Linked DNA regions of Saccharomyces cerevisiae S288C. The protein of the gene in region 2 interacts with the protein of the main gene of each other region in a biochemical or structural test. Each region holds a gene or a part of one and is shown on either strand. Other genes may lie near its edges.

Region 1 (5,533 bases), 340 kb from region 2:
CAGTTCATATACTTGTCTTGGGTTGGCACATCCAACTGTGTCGGCAATACCGACTCTATTTACACCGATCTTGTCAACGGTTTTATAAATGTTCAAAAGATCAACGAGATCACTTCTGAAGGAATCTTCAGAGGAAAATCTGATTTCAATACCTTTGGATTTGACAAATTCAATGACTTCAACAGCACTCTTGGCGATGTAGTTCATATCCTTACCGTGGGAATATTGTCTTAAAAATTTGGAGGTGCCGATAACAACATCGACACCGTCGACACCAGTCTCTACGGCGACTCTGGCATCGTCCATGTGACAACGAATGTGTGTAAGGATCTTGGCCTTTAAACCTAGTTTACATATAGCTTCACAGTCCTTTCTTGATTGTTCGGATGCTACGGGAGAGGTTAACTCGATGTAGTCCACACCGAAATCATCCAAGGCTCTAGCAATTTCAATCTTTTTTTCAGTATCGAAGAATGCGTTGGCAAATTGTTCACCCTCTCTTAGTGTTGAATCAATCAACTGGAAATTCTTAACATTGGATAGATAATCCGCAGGATTTGGGCCATATGGGTTACTAGTGGTTGGAGCAGTCGTCGATTCGGTGACACTCTGGAATTCGTTATTTTCAGACATGGTTTGTTAAAGTATACAATTACTTGGGTTGTCGTTGCACTTTTAAATGTGTAGCAAATAAAGGCCTAAACGCAACAAGAAGAAAGATAAATTTTGAAATCTGTTGCATATATATATTAGTATATAAGAGACTGCATGAAAATGCGAACAAACGCATGCTCAACACCACTCATGCGCAATATCGTAGAATCACACACAACGAGAACGATCAGCTTGGCATCTTTGCAAAGTGACTAATTTTCGCTGTTCCACCACTATCGCACATTGCGCGACGTGATTTCTACGCGGATTTCTTGGAGCTGGTAGCTGCTGGTGACGATTTCCAGCGGAATTTCAACTCTGCCACTGACTGATCCTTGTTGTCAGTCTCATCATTTCAGCCTGATCTCTTCTCAAGCAGGCCGAAAAGCCGCCCGGTAAAGGATGTTACAACGGAAAGAGAAGTGCCATATCTTCATACTATGAGATTCTCAAGAGGTCAAAGACTCTTCATAGTTCAGTTGAATACACACAATTACACACACACACATATATATATATACATATATATATATATATATATATATATATATATATGTATACGCTTATGTATTTACTCGTAGGATTTGCTTCGTTCGATCAGCACAAGCCTTCAAAGATGATTAAGCAAGGTAAGCATACGATTCACCATCGTCTCCCCTCTGTAGGTATCCCTTTTGTATTAAGCTATCGATGGCTCTCTTGACCATAGAAACCTTTGCATTGAACCTTTGGTGTGATTGCGCAATGCATTCGTTGACCAATGTTGTATGTGGCAGATTTCTTTTCGCTTTCATTATTCTCACAATACAAGCTTCCAAGAAAATCTGCCTTTCTGTATTCAATTCTTTTTCTATTCTTTCGTCTTCCGTCAAGCGTTTGTTTCCTAACTTATTACCGTGATTATCGTGGCCTCCACCGGATAGCGATTGCAGAATGTCGTTTTTGACTCCGCTAGCGAAATTAATATTGGTCTTAAGCGCCTTATAAGGACGTGATAGCTTGAATTGTGTTTCAGGTTTCACGAGAGCATCTAGCCCTGGTGGGACCTGTTGAATCAGTTTGAATTTGATGAATGGTACCATTGCCGCTGCGATGTGCTGAATGGTTAAGCTCGTGCCCTCTTGAATATTTTCTAAGGTTAATACATCAGCATCGTTATATAGTAGCAAAATTGCCATTTGAAACAGTGTTACCGTAAAGTTGAACGGCATCCTGCCGGGTTTTCCAATATCTGCCTTCAATTCGCCACGACATAATGGCCATAGCCACTTCAATATTCTACCATTATGCTTTTGGCTGTATGACTCCTTCAATTTTTCGTGAGATGGTACCAATTCCTTGGGTAGCTTAAATTCAACTTCTTGGTATGAAAATGGCCACATATTTTCTGCCAATACAAATGGTTGTAGATCTGGATATTTTGCTTTAGAGTAATCTGGTTCATTCTTCAGGGCGACAGCAAAATCGTCTTCCAAGATCTTGGAAAGTCTAATATCTTGAAACATTTTAGTTATCTTGCCTGTATATTCCATACTATTTGCCGCTTGCAGCCTTTGAATAATATTTTCTTCGTCTTCTGCTGATGTTGAAGTGCCATGAATTAAACGCTTGGCGAAAAGTCTTCTATAATGAGTTTCGAACGCATCTTTGTCGGTCAAATATTTGAATATTGTTATAATATCTTCATCTGACATGTCACTTGCCACTTCAGGTTTGGTGGCCTTCTTTAATAGTATATCACTGTACTTAGCTAGCATCTCGGAAGTCTTCGAGGTGGCACTTTTTGGAGATCCAGCAGGTAATGCGAACTCGTTGATGTTGATGAAAGCACCACACGCATTATCTAGAGCTTTAGCTAAAGGTATGTCGTCGGGGAAACTTTCATTAAAAATCTTAGAGAATATATCGTGTACTTCCAGTAATTTCTTGATATAGTCTTTAGGAGAAAGGGAGTGAGCTGTCATTAGTGCTAGTTTTTTAGGGTTTGCGTTTTCGTTTTTCATAATATTGTGTTTATGCATTGCCAGTAGACTCGAAATTTCATTCTCACCTGTCTTTTTAACATAATTTTCAAACACTGAAGCCATTCTTGGGATTAATGTAAAGTCTCTGCGTATTAGTGCGTACAAAGAAGTAATTTTTTCAATATCTCTGGCATCCAGAAGGACAACAAACTCATTTTCCAACTTTTCAATATGGTCTGTGATCAAGACCTTGTTTAATGCCATGGATAGTGGTTTTTTTGTATGATCATCCCAATATATTGTCATTGCTTTTTCCTCACGTTTGATGATTTCATGTGCTTCAAAAATATACTCAGTTACCGAGTGTTTCTCTAAATAATCGTTTGTATATTGCGTGTAGTACTCCTGAGTCTTCTTTAAAAATGGCTTTTCGAAAACTTGGATGTAGACATTTAGGTTCAACTTTTTCAAATCCTGTGGATCGATACCTAGTGCAACTAAAGACTTTATGGCAGTGCTAATATTACTTCTTTGAATTATTTGCCCCTCCCTTCCCAAGGTTACCTGGTCTAATAATTCGTTTATTAAAACATCTTTACTCGGATCAAACATGACTTCTTTCCATGTCATCAAGCACAAGGTGTTTACATCAAAAATATGCCTTTTGCCGTCACTTCTTTCCTTTTGAACCCAATATCTATTCATATAATCGAATGCATGGTTTAAAAAAATGGCACCTATTGTAAACCTTTTCCAGCGCTTGACGTAAAACTGCAAAAAGGTCTCTGAATTAGACTGCTTAAAATTTAAAATGTAATTCTTCAAATAATTCTTTAACTTTTCGTAAATCTCACTGCCAACCAAAATTGTTGATTGGCCAGTTCTACTGTCAGTACTAAAATGTCCAGACGAGCGTGATTTGTTCACACAGTAGTTATAAATTGCGGTATAGACTTCCATATACATGGTTGGAGAAAGAATTTTGTAAACTCGCTTAGACGTGGATGCTTGGTTTTTCTCATTACCCAGTATTTGGTTAATTCCTGGCTCTATAAAGTTCCAAGTGGCCTCTAAATCATCAGATCTAGGCAGAGTCTCAGACATGCTTTGCTGCTTGCGATTTTGTTGTTATTCTTTGTTTAGGTATATGTAAGAATCCTTTCAAGACTCAAAAATGTACGCTTATTTATCGGTAAGTAGAAGCAATGTCGAATTGCTAAAAGAAATGTGTAACTGAGGTAAAATGTAATCAACAATGAAAGGGGTGCACAGAAGTTAGAAGATGCGGATGAAAAGCTCTAAAAGAGAAAAAGGACAATATAAAAGAGCAGTGATATGAATCAATTGCGTTGTAAAGTGAAGTTCTGCTGGGGTACTTTACCTAATGCCCTAGTTTTTCTAGATGTTCTATTTGCCACATTTCACTTCATGTGTGTCCATCAAACATCGAAATGAAAAAGGGCCCTTAAAACGGAAAGGAAAAGAAAGTGCAATAGCCCTCCCTTCGGGTAATACATATTATATCGCACAAAGCCTAATATAATCAAACCCGCCGTTAATGAATAAATGCCAAGCCGGAGTAATTTTTTAAGTCAAAAATATACAATGCATATAAATGTCAATCTTGGTATCTAAAAGAATTCTTTTAATTTCTATATTTGTCGAGCTCAGTTTCTGTTGGTAATTGAACTGACTTTTTCGACTACTCTAACAATACTGATCGAGAAAGTGATTACCCACATAAACAAGGCAACGAACAGAAAAGCGGATAAAGCTTCCTGTTTTCTGCAGATACGCGGTATTTTTGGGTATCCATACGTGCTTCCATTTGACCTGCGAATAGAAGTGCAAACCCACTCTTTGTCGAAACGAGTATTAAATGCCAGCGCTAGATTAGCGCTTGAAAAAATTATAAAAAGTAAGTCCAACAAAATTAGTTTCAGTTTGCTTAACGGATTCCTCAAACCAACAGGTTTACCAGCAAATTCATCGTGTGCAATGTAAATAATATACGCAATCGCCACGGCGTTGACGCAGATGGCCATTATGGTGCTTGGTTGTTGCCCGATTTTACTTTCACTGATGGTGTTATTTGATCTTGAGTTTTGAAAAATCTTGATTGCCAGAGCAAGTGAAATGCACGATAATATACCAGTGAAAATCCTCAAACCCAAAATCAAATATTGATTATCAAGTAATAGCGACGTCAAAGGAGGTCTCCACTGTTGTAACTTCCTTTGCTTTAACCTCCGCCACTTTTCTCTCTCTTTATTGAGCTCATTTACCCAATCTGACTTGTAAACTTTGTTGTGTACTGATTCGGGTGATTCTGGGTTCTTCTTATTATCACCGTAATAGAAATCTTTTACCTTTTCGATATATTGTAACCACTCTTTTCTCTCTTCTGTCGTGTTGAACTCTAAATTGGCACCTATTTCTGAATGTAGAACACCTTCTAGTCGTTCTTCACCTCCCCACTCGCTGCACATGTCACCTAAAATTTCTCTAAGAGCCGCATTTTTTGATGAGGTAGATGATGATAGAGAGTAACCATCGTAGGATTTGTGACTAGGATTGTAGTTTTGGTCTCTAGTGTATGCAGAATGACAGCCGATGGTAGATGCAAACTGGCCCCATTTAAACTCTTTTGGAAGATTTTTATCATCGGTAACATTTCCATCAACGGTGCCCTTATCCTGAAGTCTTAATTTATCAAACTGCGCCTCTAAAACATAAGGCGGCACTGTGGTAGGCACAAACGTGTAAGTATTTAATTTTGGATAGTCTAGTGGTGAACCATCACTGTGTTTGGGAACATGTATCTTTGCATTCTGTAATGCTTCCAGTGAACCTGACTTCCTTACTGTTTGATTTTTTTCAAGATCCACGTTTAAATTAAGTTGATTTTGATCTGC
Region 2 (4,057 bases):
AGAAAATAAAAATAAAAAAGGTAATGAGGAATTAGATGCAAAGAGATATAGATATAAACACACACACACAAATATATATTTATATACATATGTATGGTGATATATATTCAAAAAAAAAAAGTACAGTAACTTAGAAACTATTAGTGGGACGGATTTGGTTTTCTTATTTCTTTCTTTTTAAAAAACTTTCTTAATATACACGTTTGTGGTTATAAGGTGGTGTAAAGTAATGTAATGATATACACTTTTTTTCTCAATTCTTTACCTTCTTCTTTCGTACGGTGTACTGCGAGAAGTAAAATGGGATGATGAATTAATTTTTCTAAATTTTTCTTCGACACTTAGTTATTTTCTTCTTCCCCTGTCAATCTCAGATTATCATAGGGAAAAATGTAAAGTGCTTTATCGACAACGTATCGCGTATGTATAAATTGATTCATGTTTTGCGTTTGAGCTGAATATGTTTTGTTAAATTTTGTCTTCTTTCTTACTGTTCTTTTTTATATTTTCTTTGAAACTCTTTCTACATCCTCCACATCTTCACTTTCATCTTCAGCCTTGTGGGGTTGTTTCCTATCCATGACGCTGTCGTTATCTATACTATCGTCGTCATCATCGTCATCATCTTCGAATTCGATTCTTTCGTCATCGTCGTCGTTGTCGTTATAGTTGTAAACGTCATCATCTTCAAAGGGGATATGGTTGTTTCCATCGTCGTAGTCGTCGTCTTGTAAAATGACGGACCCGTTCTCATCGTCGTCCAAATCACTATCATACCAAAAATTATCCGCCATATCCTTATTCGATTCTGGTTCATCTAGTTTACTTTGAGATATGTACGCCGATTCAGAAGTGGGCATTATGAAACCTTTAGGGATATCTTGTTTCGATCTTTCCACTTCCATTTTGACTCTTTGCTTGTATTGTTCAGGGTTCTTTCTGTAATCAACAGCGGCATCGACATTTGCTGGCGAGTTGATATTGGGGTCCTCTAATAGAGATACTATAGAGATCAACACACTTTCCACGGTCTGCACGGGGGACCACGTTTCAGCATCAGGTTCGTCGGTCATAGGATCCCCACTTTGATGTAAAATAGAAATACAAAGCCTGCCATCCCTGTAAACGTTTGGATGGTAGATAGCCGGCGTAAATCGAAACTGTGGTGGAGAAAAGGGAAAGTCTTCCGGAAATCTCATTTGAGCTTTGAAAAACCCTCCATGATAAATGGAATCCTCATTTAGCACCATAACACCTATGTTCCAAGTGAAAATATTTGAATCATCCTCTAGTTCTATATGAAATGAGGGAATAGCTTTCTTAGGATCAGTAAGTTCTCTATATTGCCGTAACAGTAAGCTAGAAGCGGTGCTTTTGCGACTACTCATATTTACGTTGTATTGTTCTTTTTTCCTTGTTTGGTGTACTAAAAAATAACAGTCGCTATAAGTCCTAAACAGTAAAGGACAAAGATGTCAGCGGCAGAGAGTATAAAGGAGTACTATTCGACTGAAATAACAAACGCAAAGCTCCTATTATTTTGTAATAGTATGCTCTTTATTGTCCTTCTTAACTTTAAGTTTCTGCTCTTGTTCTTTACAGATTCAAGAGGAAACCAAAAAAAAATCAAAGAAAAAGAATCGAATTTTTCCCAAAATGAAAGTGTAAGGAAAAAAAAAGAGGAGATAGAAAATCCGAAGAACCCCAAGGGACGGACAAACACAAGACGATGCTGCACGTGGTTAGTTTTGTAAGCGCAGGTTACGATAAAGAGCATAAACAAATCATTACTAAGAGCGGTATACAAGAATAAAGTGACAAACAGTTCTCCCTATTTAACGCACTTAACGTAGGTTCCATCATTATGATGCTATTGCCACATCAAATCTCCTTTGGACTGAACCCGCATTAGTAATTGCCCGCTTTTCTTTTCTTCCGCGGGTGGGCCCCATAAATAGAAAAAAAAAGAAAGAAAGCGTTTAAATAAATAGAGTGAGCGGATTTCTATTATCTGAAAACCGGGTTATAATGCACGTGATATGCACGTGGGAGCTGGGCGGCTATTTTTTTCTTTTTCAAATGTATTTGAGTCGTTTAAAATAGCACTCCCCGTTGACCCGCCAACTCATTTTTGTTTTCTCTTTACGGAAAAGGCTTTAAATTAAGGCCCGCATTTTCGGTATCCTTGAGGGAAAAAAACCAAAGAAACCCAAAAAAGACCACAAAGCTGGGATATCTTAATTAGTAGAGAGGGCTTTTAGTTTTAATAGTGTTACGAGTCTCTAAAAATAGCGTAGGCACACTGCCCTGATTCGGACTTTGATCAGAGTTTATTACTACAAAGAGTAATGTTGAATGATTGGGCTGGGTTTTCATAGCATTAACTCTAAGTAATATCATTCAACCGCTCAAGGTTCCTTACGAGCAAACCCATATATGCTCTACAGATAAACATATAAATAGCGTGCATATTCTTCTCTATTCAACTCTTGCTCTGTATAGTTCAATAGAATCTTACAGTACATCACGCTGCAATAGATCTAATCCAAGAGAGAAGCAAAAAAAAAAAGCTCGCTATAAAAATATCATGCAATTACATTCACTTATCGCTTCAACTGCGCTCTTAATAACGTCAGCTTTGGCTGCTACTTCCTCTTCTTCCAGCATACCCTCTTCCTGTACCATAAGCTCACATGCCACGGCCACAGCTCAGAGTGACTTAGATAAATATAGCCGCTGTGATACGTTAGTCGGGAACTTAACTATTGGTGGTGGTTTGAAGACTGGTGCTTTGGCTAATGTTAAAGAAATCAACGGGTCTCTAACTATATTTAACGCTACAAATCTAACCTCATTCGCTGCTGATTCCTTGGAGTCCATCACAGATTCTTTGAACCTACAGAGTTTGACAATCTTGACTTCTGCTTCATTTGGGTCTTTACAGAGCGTTGATAGTATAAAACTGATTACTCTACCCGCCATCTCCAGTTTTACTTCAAATATCAAATCTGCTAACAACATTTATATTTCCGACACTTCGTTACAATCTGTCGATGGATTCTCAGCCTTGAAAAAAGTTAACGTGTTCAACGTCAATAACAATAAGAAATTAACCTCGATCAAATCTCCAGTTGAAACAGTCAGCGATTCTTTACAATTTTCGTTCAACGGTAACCAGACTAAAATCACCTTCGATGACTTGGTTTGGGCAAACAATATCAGTTTGACCGATGTCCACTCTGTTTCCTTCGCTAACTTGCAAAAGATTAACTCTTCATTGGGTTTCATCAACAACTCCATCTCAAGTTTGAATTTCACTAAGCTAAACACCATTGGCCAAACCTTCAGTATCGTTTCCAATGACTACTTGAAGAACTTGTCGTTCTCTAATTTGTCAACCATAGGTGGTGCTCTTGTCGTTGCTAACAACACTGGTTTACAAAAAATTGGTGGTCTCGACAACCTAACAACCATTGGCGGTACTTTGGAAGTTGTTGGTAACTTCACCTCCTTGAACCTAGACTCTTTGAAGTCTGTCAAGGGTGGCGCAGATGTCGAATCAAAGTCAAGCAATTTCTCCTGTAATGCTTTGAAAGCTTTGCAAAAGAAAGGGGGTATCAAGGGTGAATCTTTTGTCTGCAAAAATGGTGCATCATCCACATCTGTTAAACTATCGTCCACTTCCAAATCTCAATCAAGCCAAACTACTGCCAAGGTTTCCAAGTCATCTTCTAAGGCCGAGGAAAAGAAGTTCACTTCTGGCGATATCAAGGCTGCTGCTTCTGCCTCTAGTGTTTCTAGTTCTGGCGCTTCCAGCTCTAGCTCTAAGAGTTCCAAAGGCAATGCCGCTATCATGGCACCAATTGGCCAAACAACCCCTTTGGTCGGTCTTTTGACGGCAATCATCATGTCTATAATGTAATGGAATGAAGAAATATTCTTCATTTTTGATAACTAGTACCTGTCATTCACGACATGTGAACAAATAAAAACATTTATTTAAAAATTTTATGTATTCAAATATTTTCGGGAAAGAGATAAAAGTAACGACACTTAA
Region 3 (5,506 bases), on a different chromosome or scaffold from region 2:
CCTCATCAGCTCCACCAGTTTGTTACCTTTTTGATAAAATGCCTTCACGTATGCGGATTGTGGGTTCGAAGAGGCAGCGCCCTCGTTATCATAATCGTCACTATTCTCATCGTTTAGAACACCTCTATAGATTAAATCTTTCAAGATGTTTGACCTCAAATGATTACTCCGCACACCGAGTACGAATGAGATAGCATCCATCATATTCGATTTACCAGATCCGTTAGGACCGATAATACTTGTGAAATTCGACTCGCCGAATCCTACCTTGGTAACGCCTCTATAGGACTTGAAATTACTTAGTTCTAAGCCAACTAAACGTCCCATTGCGTCTCCTTGTGCCTGCTTTTTATCAATAGCCTCTGGATGCTTGCTTTAAGTGATTTTATGAGATGTGATATGAGCGTCTTCGGTCTTATAGAATCCAATACTCTATTCACTTTACGCGTTATTGATACTTTTTTTTTTTTTCCCGTACGTGTTTATCATGACAAACGATTACAATTTGAAGAGAAGAGCGATAGAACCAAGCCTTGGAACGTTGAAACATCTAACGATAAAGATTGTGTCATAAAAACACTCATTATTTACATTGTCCAATTTGAGAAATATCATGTGATAATATACTAGTAACATGAATACTACTAATTAGATAATATTAGAACTTTATTCTAACACAATTGTATTAGCTTTTGTATTTCTTCTGCCCACGGGAGGTTGAGCGTAGAACTTCCTAATTCTCAAGAGAATATCGATCTTTTTGAAAAACTGAAAACGGAACAGATGTTTCAAAACATAACGCTTGATAACTTGAAAAAAATCAGCAGAATCAACTTCTTAACGTTAAAAGTTCAAGAAAACTCTTGGGCCAAGAACCATCAGGAATATATTATTTAAAAAATGGTTGCTACTTTCAAGAGCATCGATTTCTTATTTGGCGCGTAAAGAAATTTTAGTCACTTCGGTTATTACGCATTTTTCCAGCTTTTATTTCTTTGATTGCTTTTATATTTTTTTAGATCATTTTCAAAACTTTCTTAAACCCTTCTCAACTAAAAACTTGTACTTTCCATATTTTCAGGGAAGAAACATTAATTAATAAACGGCACCCTTTTTGTAAACACAATTAAAATTGAACATACAAGCAGTTTAGCTGCAGTTTATATTCAATAAAATGTACGAAGTTGTTATTGTACTTTTTTACTGATTATATAACTACTTATTAAGCTATATTATCTAAGTATGAGTCAATGCTTATTCTCTGGGAAAGGTCATGGTATTATAGTTGTCCTCGTTAGACCCAAAGAAGTAGAAATGGATTCCAAAGACGACGACGAGGAGTTTACGGGATTGCTAACGTAGTTAATTTTTGAAGCTTTGCTGAAATCCAGAATTTCTAAAAAGCTCTGTCCATCTTTTTCAACTGCTGCAACAAGTGTTTTGCCCTTAAAATTAACCGACCAAATCTGATCAGCATCTTTTAGAATATTTGCGTGGACCAATTTCCCACTCCGTAGATTATAGATGTTGAACTGATTTTCCGATCCACTCACCAAAATATTATCCGATACATAAAATGTGGTAATTGCACTCAAATTGGTATGATGGTAGGAAAATTTTCTAGAGTAGTCGTTTGCGTCCCAACCCCTTATTGAACCGTCTGCAGCGGCACTGACCAAAAATTTGTCGGATAATCTTAATAAACCGACCAAAGCTGTATGACCCTGCAAAGTGTACATAGCACCAAGTATTTTGGCGCATGGCGATGCTGAATTTGTTGCGTAGGAACATTCTCCATTATTCCATATATTTTCCAAATCCCAAATTCTAATAGTGGTATCCATACTGGCAGAGATGCACCTTTTTCTTTCATGATCGTAGATTGTCGAATAAATACGATCCGTATGTCCACTTAAAATATACAAACATTTCATTTGCGCAACATCCCACACAATCAGTGTATTATCATAGGAGCCACTAACGACAATATTACCGTGGCCTGAGACAGTTCTTACAGATGCCATATGTCCTCTTAAAACACCAACAAAATATGGGTTCTCCTCAGGGGTATGAAAGACTAATGGATAATCATGTTCTTCCCCATGATCAGGAACGGAGGACTCCTTGGGCAATTTCCAAACGTGCAAAGTGTTATCTCTCGAACCAGTAACAATGTACTTGATATTTTTATATTCTACTATATCTAGGCACCTCACCGTAGAGTTATGACCTTTAAACACATGGGTACAACAACCTTTCTTAATATCCCAAACTCGCACCGTTCTGTCTGTAGAACCGCTGACTAAAATACCGCCATGGGCATACTTCAATGCCCAAACCCCACCATCATGACCTGATAGTTGTAGAAGAAATTTCTTGTTTATCGAATCATAAACTCTGATCATTTTGTCATCAGCCCCCGTAATGACATAATTATCTTCAAATTGCAAGCACGTAATAACACTCGTCATATGGCCTCTTAACGTGGTCCTTTGTGGTACAAACTTGGGATTGTACCAATTTTTTAAAATGAATATATTCTCCAGAAAAGATAATCTAAGGCGATCTTGTTGTGAGAGTTTTGGGTATTTTTGGGAGAGTTTGAGATTGAGAGAATTAAAACCCTTTGGGCTCACAAAATTTTCCGATATCAGAAGTTTTTTCCACAACGATGTAGATTTTCTAATTATTTTGTTCCAATTTTGGGAGACCCCAAGGGAATTTATAATATCCTCGAATTGCAAATAATTGAAAATTTTCAAACTTATTTCAAAAGGCAAAGACGTTATTAGGTCCCTCTTTAAATTATCCTTGATTAAAGTCCCCAAGTCGGATAGTTCACTCCTATCCATGTTGGCAACTAATCTAAATAATAAATTTTTGAAGTATGCGTGAGGGAGATTATTGTTTATTGCGCTGAAAATCTCATCAGAAAGGTATTCAGGGGAGATTATAGAATCTTTGGATTCTATCAAATCGGCGATATTATTATTGTTGTTGATAGTTTTCGTAGTTTTAGCTAAAGGAGTTGTGGTACCTGGAGAGGAAGCAGTGGGTGATAACGGCAGCGCTCCTTCCTCCATAGGATTGTTAATAGTAGCACTATTAACATTGTTACTAACATCACTGCCAGTTATTGTTGCCGCATTGACGGTAGTGGGAGCAGCAACATTATGAGATGCCACTCCCATGTTTACACTCAATGTAGAAGGTGCGGCAGAACCATCATCCACAGACATCAAAAGTTTTTCTGCATCGTTGGATATATCTGTTAAATTGTGCAGACCGTCATTATCCACAGACGCTGCACCGGTGTTCTGTAAGTTAACTGGATGGAGGGTTTTGTGATTATCATGTTTTACCCTTTTGAAATCACTGCGTTCAGGAGTGGATTCGCCAGAACCAGCTGCTCTTTTCCTCTGATACTCATCGATATCTTCTTCGCCGTCTTCTGTCTCAACTGTCTTAGCCGTGGACGAGTTTCGATGAGTGCCAGCGGCAGTAACAAGCGCAGTAACACTACCTGAGGAAGCTATACCGCCAGACACACGGTAGCTATAAGGAACAGGGATATCACGTAATGGAAACTCAGCTAAGGGAAACGACCCCATCGTACAGCGTAATTTTTGCCTTTCTTTGATTCTTTATGCGTAATTTTCTTCGAACCGCAACAAGTTGAATGAGGAGAAGAAGAAGAGAATACTGTAAATAAACGTTTTTTTCCCAAAAAAGACACTATATTTTAAGCACACAGAAAAAGACACGCTTTGTTGAGCAATCTATATTCATATAACAGTGGTAATAGCCTTTCTCTCACAAGATATACAAGCGCTGTGACGTTTTAACGTATTCAGTATTATTTCAACAGGCTTTTTTGTTTCGTCCACCTGACCGAGCCGGCAGCTGGAAGAAAAAGTTTACTTTAGTCATGATAATCAAAAGACTCTTTCTGAATTGCTTTTATCACTCACTACAAGAGAGTCGATAAAAAAACCCAAAACATTTTAAAGTAATGGCTCAAAGTAAAAGTAATCCTCCTCAAGTGCCTTCTGGCTGGAAGGCTGTTTTTGATGATGAATACCAGACTTGGTATTATGTAGATTTATCTACGAACAGCTCTCAGTGGGAACCACCAAGGGGAACAACATGGCCAAGACCCAAAGGTCCTCCACCAGGTGTTAACAATGAGAAGAGTTCTCGTCAACAGGCAGACCAGGCTCCTCCACCTTATTCTTCTCAATCAACACCGCAAGTGCAAGCAGGGGCCCAAGCACAGCAACCTCGTTACTATCAGCCTCAACAGCCTCAGTACCCTCAATACCCTCAACAGCAGCGTTACTATCCTCAACAAGCCCCTATGCCAGCAGCAGCACCACAGCAAGCATACTATGGAACTGCGCCAAGCACCAGTAAAGGTAGTGGACACGGCGGTGCCATGATGGGTGGTTTACTTGGTGTTGGTGCGGGTTTGTTAGGTGGAGCTATGCTAGAACACGCATTTGACGACCACAACTATGACGGACCAGACACTGTCGTTGTCGAGAACAATTACTACGGTGATGATGCTGGTGGGTCCGACGGCGGATTTGATGATGCTGGTGGGTTCGACGGCGGATTTGATGATGGATTTGACGGTAGTGACTTTTAATGTTATCAAGACTTTTTGGACAAGGACGATAAAATGATATAAGCTCATCAAATCTATATTGCTTGCTGCCATCTAAATATGGATACATACAGATATATACTTGCAAAGATCGGTCCATTATACTACATAGAAAGCAATTAAAAGATAAAAAAACCCATCATGATATTCTACGCTTTTTTACTTAGCCATGTTGTTGAATGTAGCTTCAATTACTTCTGTCTGTCTAATTTATTGCTACTTTTTCACTTCTAAGTGAACCATCACAACACATATAGCATAGTCGAGAAAAAAATCAATAGCTATTACTAGATGATAGATACCGTATATGCCACCTACAGCTTACTAGAGAGCTTCCGGAATGATAGTATCATTTATCAAACTACCGGTATGGTTGTGTATTGACTGCGCCTCTCAATCTATGAAGCAGCACCACGCCTTATCGTGGCTATGCGCGATATGACCGAGCTTTACAACATACTTTTCAATAAGCCGTTCTTTGAATAATGGACCCTTTCCTATAACCTAGTGCGCGTTTAAGGTGTTTTGTTCCAATAATAGAAGCACCTATCCACATACTTCACATACAGATACACTAACTAATACCACCGATGAAGCGGAAACAATGATAAATGCAAAGCCTTGGAACATCGACAGGACTACCCGAAAATAATATGTGTGTTTACTAACAACGCAGTAATAAAGCTTTCATAACGGTAAAAAGAGGTAAGATCCTGTATAAACTGGTCTCTAGTTACTTATATCTCAAAACATTATATATGTCGATGGTACAAGTTTGACCTTACATTGCCTGATTTTTTCAGAAAGATAGCAGGTAGTTGTTATACTACAGTAATTTAC
Region 4 (3,467 bases), on a different chromosome or scaffold from region 2:
GCGGATTGTTCTTCAAACATTGAATTAAATGAGAAGAAATGGTAGACTTCCCAGTAGCTGGTAGCCCAATCAAAACAATCATAAACTTGTTAACTTTTCCATTTGTATACGTAGGGTCTGCATTGTCTCTTTTGTAATTCAGTGTAATGGGTAAGTGTAACGGGTCGTTAGAAATAAACCTTGGGACCTCTGTAGACAGCAGTGAACTTTTGTGATTATCGAAAAAAACAGAATCTTGACAATCTAAAGTGGCTCTGTCGAGAGATGCGCTTGAATAGCTGTTACCGGTGTTAAGTGAAAAAAGAGAATTCGAGGAATTATATTCGGAAGTCAAATATCCATCGTGAGAGTCTGAATCGGAAGAACCACCCATTTTCAAACTTCCAGCGGAAAAAACGCGTTCGTTATCCCTTTTCTTCCTTTTCCTTATATCTAAAATATTAAAAATCGCGTAAGGTAATTTGTTTCGAGGGCAGTGGAACTTGAAGCCAAATAAGAAGTATAAGTACTGGGCTCTCCTAGTATTTCCGGTTTAGTGTTACTCGTATATGAGCGTATCAGACTTTTTAACACCCTCTAAAAAAGCAAATAAGTTGGTTTGCTGTGGCACCAAAATAAGCGAAAACACCTTTGTTTAGAGCACGTCTTCTTTTATATAAGCCAATCTTCCACACGAAAAACCGAGTAATCCAATTTACTTTTTCTACTTTTTTTTCATTATCAATCGATTCAGATGCCCAGAGAAGAAAAAGAAAAAAAAGGAAAACAATTTCCGTTGCAGACTCATCTGTGCGCGATTTCTGTGAAAAGGTGGGGCACTTGTGCCTGGAATCTCGGAAATACGTCAATTAATTTTTGGTATATATTCCGATAAGCTATAGTTCGTATTTTTCCGTTCCGAGGGAGGTGTACGGGTGGACTACCACGTGCCTACTATACGCTATACGGTAGTTGAAAATGTATATAGTTACACAAATGATTTATAATAGTGTGGTCATTGGGACGACGATGGAGGAGATTGTGATCCGGTTCTTAAGGTGTCCTGTATGCTGGTGAGTTTGTCGTGTACCTGTTTGCATACTTGCTCGATCTCGCGAATTTCCCCGCGCTTGTATTCTAATTGTTCTTCCAATAGCATAATAAGGGACTCTCGGGACTGATGGGGTCTGTACTCATTAAGTAGGTGGTGAATATTGACAAGAATGGTCCTTATGTTCTCCACTTTGCGCTCATACATATCCGGATTTATGCTCAATACGCCGATGAGTTCCAAGTAATTTAGCAGGAGGGATTTCAATAGTTTGCGTAGCTCTTGGATTTTGTATTGATAATTTGTGCTTTCGTTTTCTGTGGATTTCTTATAAAGTTGGGTGAGTCCCATGCTCTCTAAATCGGGCAGTTGGTCCTTCACCTGCCATATACTCCCAAACGCTCGGTACTGCTGATTTTTGGGCATGGGGGGTGGGATTAGGTAATCTAGCGCACATGTAATCTCCTCTTCACTGCCGCCGTTACTGTTATTTGGAGCCGTCTGCTTCGCACTTGCGGCCTTCTTTTCTTTGTATTTTGGTAATTTTTCCAGATTGGACTGTGTGAAAAACTTCACGTATGGGGGTGGAGGTGGGTACAAGGAGCTAACCTCATTACCAGGATCATTGGACATTTTTAGTTTGTGAATTTTTTTTTTACTAGCTTAAATTTGGGATATGAAACCTCTTTTATGTCATATTTGCACGTCTAATGACCTGCCTGCTGAAAATGCAAGATTCGTTGTTTAAGTTCTAACTAACATTTCGTATTTCGTGATAATAGTTTCTTTTAAAGGTGTGAAGAGGGAGATCATGAAACCCACAATAGACGTATGGGCTTCAATATGTGCAATGTTGGTTGCTACTAAATGTCTTTCTCCAGTGGCAGAGAACTTTAAAGAGAAATAGTTCAACATGAGCAACGAAGTTGACAGGATGGATGTTGATGAAGATGAATCGCAAAATATTGCGCAAAGCTCAAACCAAAGTGCGCCAGTGGAAACCAAAAAGAAGAGATTTGAAATTAAGAAATGGACCGCAGTGGCGTTTTGGTCATGGGATATAGCTGTTGACAACTGTGCTATTTGCAGGAACCATATAATGGAACCATGCATTGAATGCCAGCCAAAGGCCATGACGGACACTGATAATGAATGTGTAGCAGCCTGGGGTGTCTGTAATCACGCTTTCCATTTGCACTGTATTAATAAATGGATCAAGACAAGAGACGCATGCCCATTAGATAACCAACCTTGGCAGTTAGCAAGATGCGGTAGGTGAAAAAATGAATTGCCCGTAAACATTTAAATCATACCGAGGTAGAAGGATTATGGCATGTTCCTTTTTTTTTAGAGTATGTCAACTGGCGCAGTAGATACATGTTTTTCTCTTCCACGTCGAATTTTGTTATATACATAGCATAATCGAGTTGTATGCACCCTTTTTGTTTATCTCGTTAGTAACTCGGGGTAGGAATAAGACATCCACAAAGGTGACAGAACAAAATCATCCTAGCCTTGTTCATAATCTACCTCTATATAGCCGCTAAAAAATTAGTAGTATTTTGACTCTTTAAGAGCACATTTATTATCAGGCTGCTTTTACATACTTCTTTTGTTTAAAACATTTAAAGACGATCACTGCCCTTCCAAAGGACAAATATATATACACAAACACTAGGCCAAAAGTTCACTTATAATAATTTAGTGGTAATTATGTTGGGTAAAGAAATTGCCAATAGTCTTTTTTTTCCGTATTGTAAGGTGAGACTGAGGTAGCGGCACAAAAAAACGACACATAATAGGATACTGAGTAAAGCAGTATTAAAATAAAAAAATATATTTTACCTCGAACGCTACAAATAAAGCAGAAAAGAACAAAATCGTGAGCATGATGGTTTTTTCGAGCACCTTTATTTTTCTAATTTTGGAGTTAGTTGTACTGTGTGAAGCTTCAGTCCACACCATTCAAATTAAGGACAAGCATTTCGTTGACACAGTGACTGGAAAACCATTCTTCATCAAAGGTGTGGATTATCAGCCAGGAGGCTCTTCCGACGTTAGTGAAAAGCAGGATCCGTTATCCAATCCAGATGCATGCGCTCGTGATATTTTATTATTTCAAGAATTGGGAATAAACACAGTAAGAATTTATTCTATAAACCCGGACCTGAACCATGATGCGTGCATGACTATGCTCGCAATGGCAGGTATCTATCTTATATTGGATGTCAATTCCCCATTGCAAAACCAGCACTTAAACAGATATGAACCTTGGACTACCTATAATGAAGTTTATTTAGAACACGTTTTCAAGGTTGTCGAACAATTTTCTCATTACAATAATACTTTAGGATTTTTTGCTGGGAATGAAATTGTAAACGACAAAAGATCAGCACAATATTCTCCTGCCTATGTCAAGGAGTTGATTGGAACTATG

What was found.
Region 1: the proteins of CDC34 (region 2) and CDC53 form a complex in vitro, tested with the Saccharomyces cerevisiae proteins (4 studies listed by BioGRID).
Region 3: the proteins of CDC34 (region 2) and CDC4 form a complex in vitro, tested with the Saccharomyces cerevisiae proteins (11 studies listed by BioGRID, with this or other methods).
Region 4: the proteins of CDC34 (region 2) and HRT1 form a complex in vitro, tested with the Saccharomyces cerevisiae proteins (21 studies listed by BioGRID, with this or other methods).

What each region holds. Positions count from the first base shown.
Region 1 is NC_001136.10:222,493-228,025, reverse strand, and holds CDC53 (cullin CDC53), read right to left. Parts: upstream 3,723-5,533; coding exon 1,275-3,722; downstream 1-1,274. Other genes in the region: homocitrate synthase LYS21, read right to left, coding at 1-633; SRF1 (phospholipase D regulator), read right to left, coding at 4,286-5,533. UniProt on the Saccharomyces cerevisiae protein: Core component of multiple cullin-RING-based SCF (SKP1-CUL1-F-box) E3 ubiquitin-protein ligase complexes which mediate the ubiquitination and subsequent proteasomal degradation of target proteins.
Region 2 is NC_001136.10:560,940-564,996, forward strand, and holds CDC34 (SCF E2 ubiquitin-protein ligase catalytic subunit CDC34), read right to left. Parts: upstream 1,389-4,057; coding exon 501-1,388; downstream 1-500. Other genes in the region: PST1 (Pst1p), read left to right, coding at 2,588-3,922. UniProt on the Saccharomyces cerevisiae protein: Catalyzes the covalent attachment of ubiquitin to other proteins. Capable, in vitro, to ubiquitinate histone H2A. Mediates the initiation of DNA replication (transition of G1 to S phase in cell cycle).
Region 3 is NC_001138.5:114,250-119,755, reverse strand, and holds CDC4 (SCF ubiquitin ligase complex subunit CDC4), read right to left. Parts: upstream 3,612-5,506; coding exon 1,272-3,611; downstream 1-1,271. Other genes in the region: cohesin subunit SMC1, read right to left, coding at 1-327; WWM1 (Wwm1p), read left to right, coding at 4,013-4,648; AUA1 (Aua1p), read right to left, coding at 4,482-4,766. UniProt on the Saccharomyces cerevisiae protein: Substrate recognition component of a SCF (SKP1-CUL1-F-box protein) E3 ubiquitin-protein ligase complex which mediates the ubiquitination and subsequent proteasomal degradation of target proteins. Recognizes and binds to phosphorylated target proteins.
Region 4 is NC_001147.6:68,382-71,848, forward strand, and holds HRT1 (SCF ubiquitin ligase complex subunit HRT1), read left to right. Parts: upstream 1-1,943; coding exon 1,944-2,309; downstream 2,310-3,467. Other genes in the region: PFK27 (6-phosphofructo-2-kinase), read right to left, coding at 1-373; mediator complex subunit MED7, read right to left, coding at 995-1,663; GAS4 (1,3-beta-glucanosyltransferase), read left to right, coding at 2,919-3,467. UniProt on the Saccharomyces cerevisiae protein: Core component of multiple cullin-RING-based E3 ubiquitin-protein ligase complexes (CRLs), which mediate the ubiquitination of target proteins.